Stegostoma tigrinum: one gene and its partner. The protein of the gene in region 1 interacts with the protein of each later gene in a pairwise test. Links are inferred from orthologs where the notes say so. Each region holds a gene or a part of one and is shown in the gene's direction. Other genes may lie near its edges.

Region 1 (3,752 bases):
CCCATGCGGGTGCCCATGGCCACCCCCTTAGTCTGTAGGAAGTGGGAGGAGTCAAAAGAGAAGTTGTTGAGTGTGAGGACGAGTTCAGCTAGGCGGATGAGAGTGTCGGTGGAGGGGGACTGGTAGGGCCTGCGGGATAGGAAGAAGCGGAGGGCCTTGAGGCCATCTCCATGCGGAATGCAGGTGTACAGGGACTGGACGTCCATGGTGAATATGAGGTGTTGGGGGCCAGGGAATTGGAAGTCCTGGAGGAGGTGGAGGGCGTGGGTGGTGTCACGGACGTAGGTGGGGAGTTCCTGGACCAAAGGGGAGAAAATGGAGTCCAGATAGGTGGAGATGAGTTCGGTGGGGCAGGAGCAGGCTGAGACGATGGGTCGACCAGGGCAGACAGGTTTGTGGATTTTGGGAAGGAGATAGAAACGGGCCGTGCGGGGTTGGGGAACAATGAGGTTGGAGGCTGTGGGTGGGAGGTCCCCTGAGGTGATGAGGTTGTGAATGGTGTTGGAGATGATGGTTTGGTGCTCGGGTGTGGGGTCATGATCGAGGGGGCGGTATCTTCTCTGCACCCCTCCAGTGCAAACACGTCCTTCCTACAGTGTGGTGATTAGAAGCATAACACCAAAGGATGATAACAAATAGGCTGTTCGGCTCCGCAAAACTCTGCGGAATTTCAACAGGATCACGGTCGACCTGGCATTCCTCACATCCATTTTTCTGCCCTTTCCCCATTATTCATCATTCCCTGACCGATCACGAATCTATCTCAACTAACAAGGTGTGGAGCTGGATGAACACAGCAGGCCAAGCAGCATCTCAGGAGCAGGAAAGCTGACATTTTGGGCGAAACGTCAGCTTTTGTGCTCCTGAAATGCTGCTTGGCCTGCTGTGTCCATCCAGCTTCACACTGTGTTATTTCAGATTCTACAGCATCTGCGGGTCCTATTGCCACTAATCTGTCTCATCCTGAAATATTCCACACACAACTTTATTTTAGACTTCCAGTATCTTGTTTTTATCCACACGGACGTAAGTCTAAAGGAATAACCCTTATCTTTCCCCAGCACTGGATAAAGCCTAACACACCTAAAATCTTCTCCCATTCAATGTATCAATCCCGCCCTCTTCTGTATCCATTTTCACTGTAACCAGTTCCGCGCCTGCGCACAGTACAGGTTCCGCCACGCCGTCGGCCCTGCGCTTGCGCACATTGCCATGATTCTTCCACGCCGCCGGTTTTACGTTTGCGTACAACGTCAGGGTTTCCTCGCCATCGGCCGGTCCTGCGCCTGCGCCTTCGCCTTCACCTTCACCCTGCCGGCGGGGTGGCGGCACTGCGGCTGCGCGATTCGTCTCCAGGTGACGGGGCCTAATGGCGGCGTTGGAGCCTGGGTGCGCGCTCCTGAAATGCTCTCATTATACCCGCTCCTGCAGGCTTCAGGTAAGCGGGATCTCAACCTCCCACGGGACATCTGGGTGGGAAGGAGAGGATACCTGCGTTTGTTCACCCCACCCTAATCAGTGCACAGGAAGATCCCAGACTGCAGGTTCCCTCCCCCACCTTTAACGATAGTGTTGGCCGAGGAGAACTCCCTCATCCCCCTCAAGTTTAAAACCACAAGAAATCGCATTAGGTGCGGGCTGTGTCCCCATGCGCGGGGCCAGTGCTGTTTCAGAGGGTTGGTGTTGATTCGATGGACCGAATGGACCACTTCCATGCTGCAGGGATTCCCTGAAATTCTCTTCCTCAGCGAGTCATAGAACCAAAGATTCTTCACCCTCTGAGAAATCTCTTGTAGAATACTGTGCCTAGTCCTGGTCGCCCTGCTATAGGAAGGGTATTATTTAAACTGGAGAGGGTTCAGAAGAGCTCTACCAGGATGTTGCCAGGAATGGGAGGGTTTGAGATATAAGGAAGAGGCTGCATTGGCTGAGACTTGTTTCACTGGATTGTGTGGGAGGTTGAGAGGTGACCTCCATGGAGGTTTATAAAAATCACCAGGGTTGTAGATAAAGTCAATAGCAGGTGTCTTTCCCCAGGGTGAGAGATTTCAACATAAGGGGTTGTACTTTTAAGGTGAGAGGAGAAAGATTTAAAAAAAACATGAGGGACAATTTTTTTTACCACACCAGGAGTGGTTCATGTTTGAAATGAACCTCTGGAGGTAGTGGTGGATGTAGGTACTGTTAGAGTTTTTAAAAAATTGAATATGTTCATGAATAAGTCTATTTGAATCTATCATTTAGGAAGAAATAGGAAAACATCTGGATATAAATTGTCCCATTGGGAACACCCAGTATGGGTTCATGAAGGGTAGGTCACGTATAACTAATTTGGTGTAATTCTTTTGGGACATTACTTGCATGGTAGTCAATGGGGAACTTGTGGATGTGGTGTATCTGGATTTCCAGAAGGCAAGTAATGTATTGGCATAGAGAGAGGATTGGTTGACCAGTAGAAAGAAAAGAGCAGGGGTAAATGGGTGTTTTTATTTTGTTTGGTCGGTGGCTAGTGCTGAGCCGCAGCGAACAGTGTTGGGACTGCAATTGTTTACAGTTTACATGGATGATTTAGAGTTGGGTACTAAGTATAGTGTGTCAAAATTTGCAGATGACACTAAGGTGAGCGGTAGAGCAAAGTGTGCAAAAGATACTGCAAGTCTGCAGAGGGATGTAGATAGTTGGTGAGTGGTAAAAAGGTCTGGCAGATGGAGTACACTGTTGATAAGTGTGAAGTCATCCATTTTGGTAGGAATAACAGCAAAATGGACTATGTTTTACATGGTAAAAAATTGCAGCACGGTGCTGTGCAGAGGGACTTGGGTGTCCTTGTACATGAATCGCTAAAAGTAGGATTACAGGTGCAGTGGGTTATTAAAAAGGCAAATGGAATTTTGTCTGCCGTTGCTCAAGGGATGGAGTTTAAAAACAGGGAGGCTATGCTGCAGCTCTCTAGGGTCCTGGTGAGGCCGTTTGGTCTCCTTACTTGAGAAGAGATATACGAGCACTCGAGGGGGTGCAGAGGAGATTCACTTGGTTGATTCCAGAGTTGAGAGGTTCGGATTATGAGGAGAGACTGAGTAGACTGGAATTATACTCATTGGAATTCAGAAGAATGAGGAGAGATCTTATAGAAACACAAGATTATGAAGGGAATAGATAAAGTGGAGGCAGGGAGGTTGTTTCTGCGAGCAGGTGAAACTAGGACTAGAGGGCATTGCTTTCCTTTATATTGAAGCAGATATATGACTGAGGCCCAAGAGGAGCTTTTTCATGCAAAGAGTTGTGAATCTGTGGAATTCCCTGCCCAGTGTAGTGGTTGAAGCTACCTCACTGAATGTTTTTTAAGGCAAGGCTAGATAAATTTTTGAACAGTAAAGGAATTAAGGGTTATGGTGAGTGGGCGGGTAAGTGGAGATGAGTCTCAAAAAGATCAGCCATGATCTTATTAAATGGTGGGGCAGGCTTAACCGGCCAGATGACTCTACAAAATGGGAAATACCAACATTTTAAACTGTGCCCTATGTAGTCCTAGTATCCTCTGCAAATGAAGGAATCGTCTCAAATGTCACCTTATCAGTCAACAGCCTTTTGTTGATACTTGTACAGTTCTGAGGGGACGTGGCAGGCTGGATGTTGAGAGGATATTTCAATTTATAGGGGAATCTAGAACTAGAGAATATAGTTTCTGAATAAGGATTTTCCCATTGAGGACAGAAATTAGGAGACATTTCTCAAAGCCATGACCTGTGGAA
Region 2 (3,752 bases), on another chromosome or scaffold:
ATAAAAGTTTAAAATATTCCCAAGGTGAGTTCTTAGTTCCAAAATAGGTTGTGGGAAATGATTTTGTTTCCATTTCATGTAAATTCGTCAATTACCTTTTGTTTTTAAGAAATATTTGTGAAGTATAGATATATTTGACAAAGAAATCCATTCTACCCATAATAAAAACGAAATCATACCCTTCAAATGTGCAAATAATATGAAGACGTGTGATTTAAAATGGCAGTATGAGAGATTATATACTGTTGTACTAACTTGTAATGCAGTCATAATTTGACTATAACATTGTGCCATTAAATTTATTTTGAAAATTTTGACATCGATCCTTGGAATTCTTAAAAATAGAATCAGAACCCAAAAAAAACACGTGATTAAATGGTGGAAGCTGAATGAGTGAGTTGCGATTTGAAGAATCTCTTTGAGAATTTAGTGGAAGGGTTGATTCCGTAATTTGTGATATTCATAGCTGTGAGACACACTAGCCATGACGCTGTCTCAATATGATAAAAATAACTAAATGTAATTTCCTTAGTAATCGCTCCCGATAGTGATTGCCTATCCCGTTTAACTCCTAAGCTGGTCACGGTTGTTTCATAAAAATAAAATCCGAAAGAACTGTGGATGCTGTAAATCAGGAACAAAAACTAAGTTGCCGTTCTGAGGAAGGGTCACCCGACCCAAAACGTTAATTTTTTTTTCCTTCACAGTTGTTTCTTTCCGTCTGCAGCAGCTGCCAAATTGCGGTCCACATTCCACACTGGTTAACCTGGATTCCAGCATGTACGGTGTCTCTATATTTAGCCTGTGGAGTTAAATTACAAACTCTTCAAGTGCGGCAAGCCACTGCGTTCTGCCTTTTCAGGCGAACCCGAGTAAAGTGAACGCTACCCGCTCCCTCTGCCTTCGCAGTTTCCTCACCATGGACCCTCGGAAAGAATCAAGGGAAGAATCTCGGCTGTACCAAACCACGCTGCTGCAGGACGGACTGAAAAATTTACTGGATGAAAACAAATTTGTGGATTGTTCCCTGAAGGTGGGAAATAAATTATTTCCCTGCCACCGACTAATCCTGGCAGCTTGCAGCCCTTACTTCCGTGAGTATTTCTTTTCAGATGTAAGTGAGGAAAAGAAACGTGAGGTGGTTTTGGAAGATGTCGATGAAAGTGTCGTGGATATGATCTTGAAGTATCTGTATTCCTCTGAGATAGAACTGACCGATGAGAACGTGCAAAATATTTTTGCTGCGTCCAGCCGCTTTCAGATCCCCTCTGTTTTCACACTCTGTGTCACCTATCTTCAAGAAAAGTTATCTACTAGCAACTGTTTGGCGATATTCAGGCTAGGACTCCTTCTGGACTGTCCCCGGCTTGCTGTTGCTGCCCGTGAATATGCGTCCGCTCGTTTTGAACAAATCTGTAATGATGAAGATTTTATGCAACTGGCTTCTCATGAGCTTATCAGCATCATTGCGAATGACGCTTTAAACGTGGTGAAAGAAGAAACTGTATTTGAAGCTGTAGTAAGATGGGTCCGGAAGGACAAAGAGACCAGGGTCAAAAGTTTAGGAGAAATCTTTGATTGCATTCGTTTTCGTCTCATGACTGAGAAATATATCAAAGACCAGGTCGAAAAAAATGACATTATTAAGTCTAATCCAGATCTATTGAAGAAGGTGCAGGTGATTAAAGATGCTTTTGGAGGAAAACTTCCCAAGCCTGAGGCAGGTAGTAACAAGAGCGCAAAGAAAGGAGAAGGCGGTGAAGATCTAGCTAACGGCGATGTAGGAGACGAAGATCTGCTCCCTGGTTTTCTGAATGACATTCCCAGGCATGGCATGTTCGTCAAGGAAATGATCATGTTAATTAATGACACAGTGGCGGTGGCATATGATCCAAACCTAAATCAATGCTTTCTGGTTGCAGTGGGTGATCAGATCCCCAAAAACCATGTTAGTTTGGTTACAAAGGGAAACCAAATTTTTGTTGTCGGTGGGTTGTACGTGGATGAAGAAGTTAAAGAACAGCCCTACCACTGCTATTTCTATCAGGTACTCGTAGATCTATCGAACTGTGAAATCATATAATATGTTCAGCTTTGTTTCAGAAAACGTGATTGTAATTGTTAATTTAGTTCACCAATTTTCAAAATCATTCCAAGTTTACTTATTTAAAAAATGTAAGCAACTACTTCCATTTCAATGTAGTCTCTTCCCTGCTGTTTAAAAATAGATATTGTGCAAAATATGATAATTTTATGAATTGCGTGCTCCACCTCAAATTCCTATCAAATCTCATCGGATTTCTGAATACGTTTGATATAAATATATCGAGAATCGGTCACAATTAAACTGGCTTTTCCGACGCTTTAGTTTGACAGTATCGCTAGTGAATGGAATGGCTTGCCACCGCTGCCTTCAGCTAGATGCCTCTTCGGTCTGGGAGAAACAGAAAACTTTCTTTATGTGATTGGTGGCAAGGATCTTCCAAACGAGCAGTCATTGGATTCAGTATTTTGCTACGATATGAAGTAAGTAAATCCAGATTATTTGCATGTTAACAAAATGTTATTTTTAAATTATTTTGTAGCAACTTCTAACAAAATGCTGCTCCAAACCAGTATAGTTAATCAGAACCATGCTTTCACAGAAATATTGTACAGTATACCACTCAGTGCCATTACAGTTATAATTTAATACCAACAGTGAGCATATCAAATTCAGTCAGAATACAAGGACTGTCAATGAGATTATAGGTCCCGTCTAAAATAGTTTACCCTCCATTAGCTCATTTAAATAGACCTACCGTCATATTGGTTGAGTCAGTTCTGGGAACAGACTGCAATGGTAACTTGTTGCAAGGATAGTAGGAACTGCCGATGCTGGAGAATCTGAGATAACAAGATGTAGAGCTGGATGAACACAGCAGGCCAAGCAGCATCGCAGCAGGAAAGCTAACGTTTCGGGTCGAGACCCTAAGGTCTCCGCTTTCCTGCTCCTCTGATGCTGCTTGGCCTGCTGCGTTCATCCAGCTCTACACCGTGTTATCTCAGTATTGTAACTTGTATGTCATGTGACATTCACAAAGCATGATTAGAATCAGAATAGGAAAATTCGTCAGATAATGATGACCCAATATCATCTCTGTTGTTCAGTTTTTGAACAAGACACTTAGATCCCCTGTGTCCAATGTTCATTGTTTTATTAGACTTGCACATTAGAGTTTAGCTTTGAGTTCAGGTGAGTTTTCAACGAATGTAGTGTCGAAAGATTTCACGTTATTTAATTTCAATTCCAATATTGGGAAAGCCAGAGACAAGTTGCTCCAAGTTTTCATTTTCCACCACTCAGGACAATTGTATGAATGCTTCCTCTCCACAAATGCTGCAAGAACCTGCTGTGCATTTCCAAAAAAAAATCTGATTTTATGTATACACGTTGCTCAATTGTATGCAGAATGTCTTTTCAATTGACAGCAATATTATTGTCAGTGATAAATGACACTTGTACGGCCCTTGTATTTATGGCACTGTGAAATGGCTTGTTTAGGCTATTTTAAAACTTAAAGGTGTCGTTCCACTATTATTTGAGGCAATCACCTTCTGCAATTTTCAGCATATTCATGAACAAAAACGTAATTTTTAAAACAGGTAAACATTGAAGAATGATGAATACAATTTAAAAAAATGCATTTTTTTTCAGCAAACTAAAATGGAATGAATCCAAAGCATTCCCGTTTAAGATTTATGGCCACTCT

The links. The genes of interacting proteins can lie anywhere in the genome.
Region 2: the proteins of rchy1 (region 1) and klhl41a interact in binary tests that used the Homo sapiens proteins (3 or more experiments, as listed by UniProt). The two-hybrid records come from large-scale screens. The link is inferred for Stegostoma tigrinum from reciprocal best matches to the Homo sapiens genes RCHY1 and KLHL41.

The regions. Positions count from the first base shown.
Region 1 is NC_081354.1:2,950,086-2,953,837, forward strand, and holds the start of rchy1 (RING finger and CHY zinc finger domain-containing protein 1), read left to right. Parts: upstream 1-1,321; 5' UTR 1,322-1,369; coding exon 1,370-1,438; intron 1,439-3,752. UniProt on the Homo sapiens protein: E3 ubiquitin-protein ligase that mediates ubiquitination of target proteins, including p53/TP53, TP73, HDAC1 and CDKN1B. Mediates ubiquitination and degradation of p53/TP53; preferentially acts on tetrameric p53/TP53.
Region 2 is NC_081360.1:50,276,904-50,280,655, forward strand, and holds the start of klhl41a (kelch-like protein 41a), read left to right. Parts: upstream 1-789; 5' UTR 790-919; coding exon 920-2,047; intron 2,048-2,368; coding exon 2,369-2,526; intron 2,527-3,697; coding exon 3,698-3,752. UniProt on the Homo sapiens protein: Involved in skeletal muscle development and differentiation. Regulates proliferation and differentiation of myoblasts and plays a role in myofibril assembly by promoting lateral fusion of adjacent thin fibrils into mature, wide myofibrils.